3 linked regions of the Cricetulus griseus genome follow. The protein of the gene in region 1 interacts with the protein of each later gene in a biochemical or structural test. Links are inferred from orthologs where the notes say so. Each region holds a gene or a part of one and is shown on either strand. Other genes may lie near its edges.

Region 1 (3,651 bases):
CCATGCAGGCTCCCTAGCTGTTGGTCCAGAGTCCTTGTGTCCTCACCTTTGTATCTAGCTGGGCATGTGCTAACCTACCTGACAACAAGGCAAGCACAAGGGGCCCCAAACTACCCAAGACTCCAGCATAAGACAAAAGAGGACATGGATGACAGGAAAGTCAACAGTGGACAACTCACGTGGGCATTTCTTCACACAGGTGGCGCCAAAGCTGTACTTTCCCTCAGGGTTGACATCCATCTGATATGTGGTGGGGTTGTACAGCATCAGTGGTGGGCAGGTGTCTTTGCATGTGGCTTCATCCCGGAACTTATGACAGACCTGTCATAGGAGGGACAACATGCCTGCTCAAGATATTGCATCCAAATGAAAGAAGCACAGGGCCAGGCAGCCTGCAGGTCAGGCCAATGGCAGCTCTCAGTGCTCAGGAGTTCAGTGAGAGGGAAAAGAATCCAGTCAGCTTTTCAGGGTAGTCAGAAACATTGCCCTCTTGTAAGTAACAAGTACTATTTTTAAGTATACTGACTGCTGCAGTTGCTATAACGTAGGGTTTTTGATTAGAAAAAATACATCTCTATTGATTACAGGTGACAAAGAAAGGTAACCACGGCCAGGTAAATATGGTGTGACATCATTTTTAAACCCAGTTTATACTGGGTTTCTCTTATAAAGAGTGCTTTGGAAGACATTTTAGAATTTATCGTCAAAGGGCTGGCATCTTAACAGGAAGCTTCCATTCAGAAAGGGCGAGATCAAAGGTCTTAGCTCTTACTAAAAACTACATGGACGGTCATTCTCCTGTGCTGCTCTTAGGTCCAGCCCAGACTGTCCAAGTGTTAACATCCGGGGCTAGCTCTGGTTTGGGATTTAAGAATCTTCTGTTTGCAGAAACCATACGATATTCTAGACTCTAGCTTAGGATGGACTTCCTCTTCTGGAGCCCAACAGGGCCTTGCTCAGCTTTGTGCTAACCCCAGGAATCACATTCACTAGCCCGTGCATTCACAAGCTCTTTCACCAGAGCTTCGGTAGTGTCAGGGGAAAAAAGACACCATGGGATGGCATAGGGTAGGGGAGCAGCCAAGAGGCATTGAAAGATGGTGGGCAAAGTGGAATGGAGGGGACAATTCCAATGTCATACTGTGCAAGGTCTGTGTAACTGGACACATCTCAAGGGGTCTTACAGAAGCAGCTCTAGACATTTGTCATAATGCTGTTGCTGCTGTTGGCCAAGACAATACTTATTTACACTGTGCCCCACAGGAAGGCCCCATCACAGTCAGTGTGTAAAGCTCTGAGGCCTGCCTCCCCAGTGCCTACAGTCTTACCAGACAGTCACTCTCTCGGGGTCCTGTACAACCAGCGGCACACTGGTTGTGGCAGCAGTCACTGGGGGACCTGCCACGGCAACGCCGGGAACATTGCTGGGCACAGATGATTTTGGTCACTGAAAAAGAAAGATCACCAATGAGCTGCATCTAGGTGGCAGCTTATCTTCCAGGGGCCTGGAGGAACACTTGCATGCAGTAGAAAGAAACAGATGGGAAGATGGATGGATTTCCTGACTGTGGAACAGGCTTTTAGGCATTCACATTCAGCCAAACTGAGTATCATCACAACCTTCCCCTCAGTATATCTCTTATCATTTATTTCAAATCACTTAGGAGACGTGATTAAAGCAAGTCTGTCTGATCAGATCTTTTGAATGAGTAGATAGTAGCTAGAGAATTCTTGGTGGTACAGAAAGCACACAAGCCAGAAGAGCACCTGACTGGACATGGTGTTTAAAAGAATGGATAGTTATGTCACAAAGGCAATGAACTGTGGTCAGTTTTGAGGCTGATACATTCCTGGGTTCTTTAATTAACTCCAGCAACCATGCTGGAGTTAATTAAACTTTTTAAAAAGTAGGATTCACACATATGCTCCCTGGAGAAACCCTTGGTACTAAGAAAGGGGGAGTAGGAGCAGAAACAGGGCATCCTACATAACTTAGGCACTTGGGTAGCTGGCTTTTAGGCATTTTATGATGGTCTGAAGTATCCCAAATAGTTAGCCTTTGATGGCTGTGTGCAGTTGGGTTGGCAAGACCAACACTCATGAAATAGTTAACACTGGGTCCATTGCCAAGTTCCTGTACTCGTCCTGTTACCAAAGTGTAGGAGAGGTGGGCCACACACTGTGTGGACTCCACTCACAAGGGCATGTTTCTCAGGCCCCAGAGCTGTGCTGACTTACATTTCTGGCAGTTCTCTTCTCCTCCTCCCCAGCAACTTCCGTTCGGACAGCTCGGATCGCATTTTTGGCCTGAAATAAAAATCTATTAGTTAAATGCATACTTCAATAAAAGTGAACAAATGACATGAAACCAATGATGCCTCTCCCAAGGCCCTAGAGAATGTTCTAGAAACAAGGAACAGTTTGGAAACTTCGTATTCATAGTTGGCTTGGATGCTTTGTAGGGTAAACTAAAAGACTCTCGTGCAAGAAAGGAAAACTGTGAGCCATGGACTGCTTTTGTTTGCACTTTAGCTTTGGAAACTGAGAGAGAGAATACCTACTGACTTGTCACAGGCACACAAATGACAAATCTAAATGAGTCCAGGGTCCGAGAATTGCCACCTGCTTTGGTTTCTCTTGACAGATTGACTCTGCGTAAATTCATTCAACTTGCTATATCCAATCTTGACTGACTTGGGGGTAGAGTGGGGCAGGCAATCATCACTGAGTTTAGGGATGTTAAATCATGGCTGGTAAAAGCACCCTTCTCCTCCAAGTCATGGAGTAGCACAGAAAATGCCACAGGAAGTCAACATTCTTATTCTGTGAATCACTTGGCCAATTACCTAAAACTTCAGTTAATAGTTGGCACGCTACTGTCTGGAAATCTTTGTAATTAATAAGTTTTTGTGTTTTTGTATTTGGCCCATATCAAATTGCAGCTACAAAGATTTTTTTTAATATCTTGAGTTCTGTTCTGCAATTAATCACACTGAAAAATGTGGAGATCAAAGTGTTAGCGAACAAGTTTGTTGAAAAGTTCTACAGAACAGATTTGTCCTTCTTTCCTTTGCTTTTTGTGGTTCAGCATACTTAACATTTCCATTAGGCTTTTAAAGACCACTCTGTCTAGTTTTAAAACCTTCTTTGGGGCAATCAGATATCATATAATGTAACTTTGTTTCACATGGAAGCTTATTTGGTGGTGTTTAAATTTGGCTTTTCAACTTAACATTCATCCTTACTTTCCTTTCTAGTACTTAAATGTATATTAATATTTTATTACATATGCTTAATACATATTTGGAATTCATATTGAACCATGGAGTAACTGCTGAATTTATTTATTTTCTTTCATGTAAAGCTATTTTCTTATAGCCTCAAATTCTAAGCTTCATCAACAATAATATACACTGGTCACAGTGGGCCATTCTTCTGAATCTCAGACATCTCACCTATGTTACAGTGAAATTCACCTCATAATACTGTGTTTGTCATTGTTAAAGATGGAATGCAAACTTCTCAAAAGGCTTGTGTGTTTGCAAACCACTGGTCAGTGGAGGAGAGGAGAAGATAGGAGACACCAGAGACAGATTTCCTATCTTCTAGTATGGATAACTCTCATGTCCTTACTTGATTTTTAAAAACTCT
Region 2 (3,751 bases), on another chromosome or scaffold:
CCTCCCTTCCTTTTTTCTTTTCTTTTTTTCTTTTCTTTTTTTTTTTTTTTAAGATTTTATTTATTTTGTATACAGTCTTGTGCCTGCATGCCAGCAGAGGGCACCAGATCTCATTCAGGGTGGTTGAGAGCCACGATGTGGTTGCTGGGAATTGAACTCAGGACCTCTGGAAGAACAGTCAGTGATCTTAATCGCTAAGCCATCTCTCCAGCCCCCCTTCTTTCTTTCTTTTTTTTAAATTTTTCGAGACAGAATTTCTCTGTGTAGCCCTGAATGTCCTGTAATTCCCTCTGTAGAACACCGAATTCAGAGATCTGCCTGCCTCTGCCTCCTGAGTGTTGGGATTAAGGGGGTGTTTGTCGTATGCCACCACAGCCCAGCCCGGCTCCTGCCCTCGTTTTTATTGATCCATGAGGGGGAGGGATTGGGCGAAGCAGGTGGGCTCATATCTTTAGGCGAGCAGAAATGGGGCGGTTCACATGCTCAGGGGAATCCAGGAAGGCTTTGAGCTTGGGTCGGGCTCTGAGGCGTGTCACATAGGCTGAGAGCATGGGAAAGTCATTCAAGTAGCCAGGGAACAGACGCTCGTGGTTCAGAAGCAAGTCTAGCAGTCGGTAGTCCGCAAAGGAGATCTATGGGCAGGAGAGAAACTCCATGGAGCCAAACACTGGATGCTTCCTGCCTCCATTTCTGCATCAGGGAACTTGGCCTCAGATCTGAGAAAGGATCTGAGTAGAGTGGGAAGGGCCTGACCCAGTGCTCACCTGGTCACCCACAATGAAGGACTGGCCACCCTTGTTCTGGGCCAGCAGAGTTTCAAATGGCTTCAGGTGTCTTGGAAGTTCCTTCAGATACTGGACCTTGCCCTCCTCCTGTGGACAGAAATGACCCCAGGTGAGAATGTGCAGCCAGACTGACAAAAGTGAGTTCCGTTTCCTGACCACCCTGCTTTGCACAAGCCTGCAGTCCCTACATACATAGTTTCGGAGAAGCTGCTGGCCAAGGTGCCTGATGAGGTCTTCCAGCCCGTCGTTCACCATGTCCACCAGCGCTGCCTCTTTCTGGTCTTTGCCGTAGAGCCCTGGGTCAGGAAGCAGGCAGCATACTCGTGTTCTGTGCTAGTCCCTAAATACCCGCTCACACCAAAGCCTGGGTCTACTTTGCATTGAAGATCTTCCCTGTCCTGCCTACCTCAGCCATGCCACCTTCACAAGGGAAGAGTCTACCATCCCCCAGGGCCACAGCCAACTGAAGCCTGGGCCTGCTTTCTGGGCCACACCTGTCACTGGATCTGCCACACCAAAGGAAGTCAAAAACTCTGTTTTGTCCCTCCCTTGGAACAAGCTGTCTAGGGACCTAGACAGACCGGGGTGTGAAGGCTGCTATCCACATACATTGTGAGATGCACAAGGCAGATGAGAAGATGACAGGCCCCAGCCCAAGGCCGTGGTCTGCTCTCTAGGTCCTGTAAAAGAGGAGTTGGCCTGAACTGCTCCCACTACCCATCCATCCTCAGGTTATTATGTCTTTATGGAACTCCGGGCACCCCTTTCCCAACCAGGCCCACAGAGAATAGTTGCCTCTGCCACCTTCCTGACATCATCCAAACAGGCTGAGGCCTCGTCACTGTGACTATGGGTTTCCCTGACTGGGGTATGGCCAGGTTAGGAAGAAATGGGCAGTGAGGTCTACTGGGAAGTCTCTAGTCCTGTTCCATTGTCACACATAGAAACTGGTGGCCCCTTATGAGATGTCATTTAGAACAAATAATGCAAGTTTACTGGAAATTCACAGCCCCCACTGTGCACAGACAGACCAGCACCACACCTGGGAGCCTCTTGGAACCTGAGCCTGCAGCCTGCCTCTAGGGTAACCTGCTTGCCCTCTATCCAGGTGAGAGATTGGTTGCTGTAGGACATTTTGCAGGACATCTGTCAGGTGTCTTTCAGGGTTGTACTTCAGGACTCACCGAAGGAGCGGCCCAGGTGCCGCAGGATGGCATTAGATTGGTACAGGGTGATGTCTCCATCCTGGAACTTGGGGAGCTGCCCAAACAGCTGGGAGAAGACAGCTCTGTAAGGGGTGCTCAATGGGCTGCCCCCAACCCTAGTCACAGGACCCTAAGGCTGCGCCCCAGTGCCATCCCCACTTTAGTGTAGTCACTCACACAAGAAGCCTTGAGTGTACCCTGCTCCCAGGCATCCAAGGTCACCACCTCCTCCTTCCAGCTCTGGCCCTGGTCGGCTAGCAGCATGCGCATAACCTCGCAGCGCCCTGTATTAGGGTACGGGACAGAGATTGGGGAACTGAACAGAGACCTGGGAGAGTTTGGAAGAATGGAAAGCTTACAAAAGGACCAAACTAAAACGTTGGGAGGGGAGACACGGAGTAGAGGCCACGCCCTACCAATACCTAGGAGAGCGGGACACAGCTCCACAATGGCCCAGGAAAGGAAGAGTAACAAAGTCCCTCCACCTAAGGTGCCCGAGAGGGCAGTTCTGTTCCCACCAATCACAACTGTAGTCCCGCCCCAGGTCTCGGTCCCACCCCAGCACGGCCTTTGCCACGCCCCTCCGGCTCCACAGGAGCCACAGGAGCGATCCTGAGGACTACAATTTGTGCCCTTCATCTTGAAAGCGCTGAGGCCACACCTCGAGAGGGGAAGTAGACGATGGTGTAAGGCGGCACTAGAAGAGATAAACACACAGAAAGCACGATGAAGAAAGACCTCATGGCGGGGGTGGGGGTGGGGTGTCAACTCTGCCCAGGCCCCGTCCTCACCGCCCAGCTCCTACTTACTTTTGGGCGATGCAGTGCGGTGCAACTTCAGCAGCATGAGAGGAGGTGACTCGGGCCTTATATTTACAGCGCAGCTCCGCCTCCTCAGACCTCGAGCCCTGCCCCAGGAATATGCCAAGTCACCGTGCTCAGCACATTAGGCTCCAGGCAAAGGCTAGGGGAGGTGGGGCAGAGAGCACCAGACCCACCTGTACATCTGCAGTACTGTCTATACTGGGGCTTTGCAAGAGGCACGCATGCTAAGCCTCGCGCCTTAACACGCCAAAAACACACGGTCCCTCGTGTCCTCAGGGGCCTGGACAGTACCTTGCAGGCACGAAGGTCTCCAGCCAACAGCACTTAGATGCTCAATAAATGTTCATTGTAAGAAGGCAAGGTTGCCAGGCAGGGTGGCACACGCCTTTAATCCCAGCACTCAGTGTGTAGAGACCCGCAGCTCTCAGCGAATTAGAGGGCTGGAGAGCTGGCTTAGTGGTTAAGCATATACGGCTCTTACAGAGGGTTCAGATCCTAGCACCCATGCCACGCAGCACTCAACCACCTCTAACTACAGCTCCAACGCCTGTGGCTTCTGAGGTCACCCGCACACACATGCACATAATCTACACACACACACACACACACACACACACACACACACACACACACACAAGTAAATATAAAATAAAATCTTTGGAAAGATAATAAATCAGAGTCAGTGAGAAAACTCAGTGAAATGCCACCCAGTCTGATGGCCTGAGTTCAACTCCTGGAATCCACAGTGAAAACAAGAGAACAGACTCCCAAGAGTTGTCCTCTAATCCTTACAGCCCCTGTAGCTTGTATACACACTCATACCATAGTAATAAAGCAAAAAAAAAAAAAAAAAAAAGCAAAACTGAGGCAAACTTGGAACAGCAAATGGTGGAAGGGGTTTTGCTCTCCCTCCCTCCCTGTCTGCTTAAAGCTGAAA
Region 3 (3,651 bases), on another chromosome or scaffold:
CTCATCTGATTTTCTGGCTGCAGCTACCTCCTTGTTGAAATTTTCTTATGATCTTCCTGCTGCTTATGTGGTCATGAATAGGTTGACCCCCTAAATCTAAGCTTCCCAAGTGTTTGAAAACTAAGCAGGTGTCCACACCTGTGGTACCTTGCGTACTCCTAGCTGAGGACTTCTCCACTGGATACTGCAGAGGTATTACAATGCCTTGATCTGGCTTCTGAAATGCTGAAATCAGATTCTTTATTTTCCGGAAAAATCTTTTGTGTACCCCAGGTGCTGTCTGGAAAATAAAAGATGAAAAAAGTATTCATTTGCCTCATGATGCTAAAAAAAAAAAGAAAGAAAAAGACCTATAACATGTGAGAGGGATGCTCAGAGAGGTAACATTTGTGTAACTTGCTCAAATATTTGAAAACATAAGGAAGAAATGAAAACAACATCCAGAAGAGCTTACTTTGCTTGGCTGAATTTCCTTGCAAGAGGAGCTAATGAGCTGTCATTGCAGTTCTCCCAAGGGTAGTACTAGTTTGTACAAGCTCTTTCTCACAGCCCTGCCCTTCCTGACTGCTACCCGTCATACATCCTGAACCTCTAAGGATGTACAGGCCATTACCCACAATGAATTCAGCAACAGAGGGGATGAAGTTAAACATAAAAAAAATGTATAGATCCTACAGGTCATTAACAAAAAAGCCTGAGAAATCAAAACAACAACCAACAACATGTCCCCCATCCTCATTTTATAATATCAAATATTACACAGGAAATTTAAAAAGTGACTGTTACGATACACACAACTGCATGGCTGGCCGATGCATATACTATTTTACGTCATAATACATACTGAATCATCCTTCATGTTAATTTTGTGTTCTTTGCCCAAATTGTTTGCATAGTCAGCCCTGCACCATGACAAGGTTTCCTCTATGACATGTAAATGAAAGACTATACAAGTTTATCTTTATTTATGTATTTGTTCATTTTTAAAGAGATCAAATTTGCAGGTGGCTGTTAAGAATGTATTCTTTCCTTGACATCTGTGCTCTCACAAGGACACTGCCTGAAATCAACATTCCCCACAAAGCTTATGAGCTGTGCTTTAGGCACCCGCTCAAAACTGTCATTTTACAGAAAATAAAATAGTATTGCTACGAGCAATTGAACAATGACTAGTTTTGCTTCTTTCTAGTTTTTTTTTTTTTAGAAAGTTGTTTTTCAGCTATTCCATCTGGAAGATTTTTGAGATGGGAACTGCTTGGTTTTTAGCATTTAAGGAGAAAATATGAGGCTGGCACACAGACTTCTGTCAACTGGACTTTAAACTCGAGATAACTGACTATCCAAAGTTACTCTTGGTCATTGCCTACTTTGGAGTGAGTAGGGAGTTTTCCAATATAAACACATGGTAGATGTTCTCTTTAGCTGTAATTTAGTGTTCATCTATCCAGTGTCAACGGACAGAAAATGGTCTCCTACCCATCCCTATTCTTATGATCAGAAGACCTAATTTTCTGCTGAGGCTTCATCTAAAAATAACATGGCCATTCTCGCAGAGACCCAAATAACTCTTTGGCTTCAAGACAGAGGCTGCAAATTACAAAGGCGTGCAAATGGCTACAAAATACCTCCTTACTTCTTCCTTAGGGCATTTTTTGATTTTTCAAAACACTTTCCCATCTCTTGCGTTCACTATTTCCTCGTGAATTGGAAGATATTGATTCTTCCAATTATTCTCATTTCACAGATATAAACATGTAACCTAATCATCTTGCATTGAAGTAAATTAATAAGCAGGTTGAGGTCACACATAAATCAGAAGCAGCAGAATTGTCTCTGCATTCCTTTCAGATTAAGACTAGACCAAGTAGTTTCGAGTGAAGCTGAGGTCACCTGCCAGAAGAGAGACTGCATATTTCCCCAGAGGGGAATCATTTGAAACCACACTTCATTTAGGCTGTTTCTTGTGGCTTATACATGTATTTTCAACAAAGGCATCATTTCTATGGAGACTGATAGTTAACACTTGATTATCAATGCTGACAGAGAAGACAATTACCACTGGACATAGAGAAGTAATTTGAACTTGAGATGCAGCATTTCTTTAGCAAATGACTGACCTAATTTATGATGCTTTGCTTAGGCTAATAAGTAATTCACTTACTAGCTAAGAATCTCCTGGTGACCAACTACCCAGAAAAGCCCAAAAGCACAGAAATTGGCAGAGAGGGAGAGAACAGTACACTTTTGACAATGAATTGCTGACAATCTATACTTAATAAATGATAATCAACAATTCATCATAACTTTAGCCTCCAGGAACTAAGTTAATGTCCTCAGTAATGTTCTACTTAAAATGAAATTTTCTGAATATTTTCTTTCATAATCCAATAGATTCAAAGTTCAATTTAATATCACATCTCTAAAACATGTCTTAAACTTACCTAAGGACAGAGGCTAGAATGTTCCTGACATGACCTTTTCTTATGGTATGTCAAACTAAAATGCTTTTCCTGAAAGTAGTACATAAGCCACTTACCACATTTTGGAAAGACATTTATCACACACACAAAAAAGCATCATGGCTACTATCCTGTCAGTGAATTCAGTTCTTGTTCAAATTTGAGCATTTCCCATACTGCCATCACTTAATTATCCATGGAAACACGTTTTGAATCACAGCTGATCTTCAGTACACTCTGGAGAACTTTCTTCCAGCCAGGTGATTTGAGCTCTGAGAATTGTGCACTACTTTAATATTCACCTTAACAAGAAGGCAAATTTTGTAGACAGAAAAAATGCAATATGCATTTCATGAAACAAAGATGTTTTTACCTATTTCCCATTTGGGGATAACCCAAGACAATCTTCTGCTCTCATGGTGCAAATAATTACAATATTATTATATAAGGAGGGTCAAATCAGATAATAGGATAAGGAATATTTATGCTCAATAGACCCTCCTCTGAAAATGTTTACAAATATGTAATGATGTGCTATGATGTTACATGCGAAATGGAAGAAAATGAATTATAAAATGTGTCTAAGAATCCATATCACATCCCTTCCTCCCAAGGCTCAAGGATCATTGAGGAAGAGAAGTGAAAAGAGTATAAAGCAGTGGAAAATTACAAGGAAACAATGTATTCCAGACACAGCAGGACAGCTTCACATATGAACTCACAGTGGTTATGTCAACACGCACAAGACCTGTGCAACCTAAGCCAGATCAAATCCAAGCATGAAGAGAGGAGGTGTGTACAAATTCCCACTTCTGGCAAGGAGCTGCTGGCAATTGATAGCTACCAGGAGAAGAAAAGCCAACTTTCTTTAAAAGAATAGCCCCTGGTAAATCAATCATGCTTCTGAGGAAGGCCACACATCCAAGAATATTTGGACAGCACAAATTGAGAAGACAGATTTATCAAAACAAAGAGTACACAAAATTTCCTGGATTGGGAGAGAGGAACAGATCTTGGAGGACAAGGGTAAATAAGATCAAAACATATTATACAAAATTCTCAAAGAACTAATTTTTTAAATCGCAAAAATATCAAAGATTTTTTCCATAAAAATATTTGTATTGCTCAGCTGAAGGGTATTGTTTGAGGGAAGAGGATTATTTGTGACCAACCCATACATAAATTTACATAT

What was found.
Region 2: of the proteins of Egfr (region 1) and glutathione S-transferase P 2, one has a biochemical effect on the other in vitro, tested with the Homo sapiens proteins (2 studies listed by BioGRID). The link is inferred for Cricetulus griseus from reciprocal best matches to the Homo sapiens genes EGFR and GSTP1.
Region 3: the proteins of Egfr (region 1) and Sh2d1a form a complex in vitro, tested with the Homo sapiens proteins (2 studies listed by BioGRID and IntAct, with this or other methods). The link is inferred for Cricetulus griseus from reciprocal best matches to the Homo sapiens genes EGFR and SH2D1A.

The regions. Positions count from the first base shown.
Region 1 is NW_023276807.1:89,400,572-89,404,222, forward strand, and holds part of Egfr (epidermal growth factor receptor), read right to left. Parts: intron 2,308-3,651; coding exon 2,239-2,307; intron 1,448-2,238; coding exon 1,329-1,447; intron 322-1,328; coding exon 180-321; intron 1-179. UniProt on the Homo sapiens protein: Receptor tyrosine kinase binding ligands of the EGF family and activating several signaling cascades to convert extracellular cues into appropriate cellular responses.
Region 2 is NC_048596.1:55,181,536-55,185,286, reverse strand, and holds glutathione S-transferase P 2, read right to left. Parts: upstream 2,890-3,751; 5' UTR 2,837-2,889; coding exon 2,800-2,836; intron 2,688-2,799; coding exon 2,652-2,687; intron 2,516-2,651; exon of another isoform or gene 2,413-2,515; intron 2,275-2,412; coding exon 2,168-2,274; intron 2,058-2,167; coding exon 1,970-2,057; intron 1,082-1,969; coding exon 978-1,081; intron 873-977; coding exon 765-872; intron 633-764; coding exon 444-632; 3' UTR 382-443; downstream 1-381. UniProt on the Homo sapiens protein: Conjugation of reduced glutathione to a wide number of exogenous and endogenous hydrophobic electrophiles. Involved in the formation of glutathione conjugates of both prostaglandin A2 (PGA2) and prostaglandin J2 (PGJ2).
Region 3 is NC_048604.1:25,494,316-25,497,966, forward strand, and holds part of Sh2d1a (SH2 domain-containing protein 1A), read right to left. Parts: intron 281-3,651; coding exon 139-280; intron 1-138.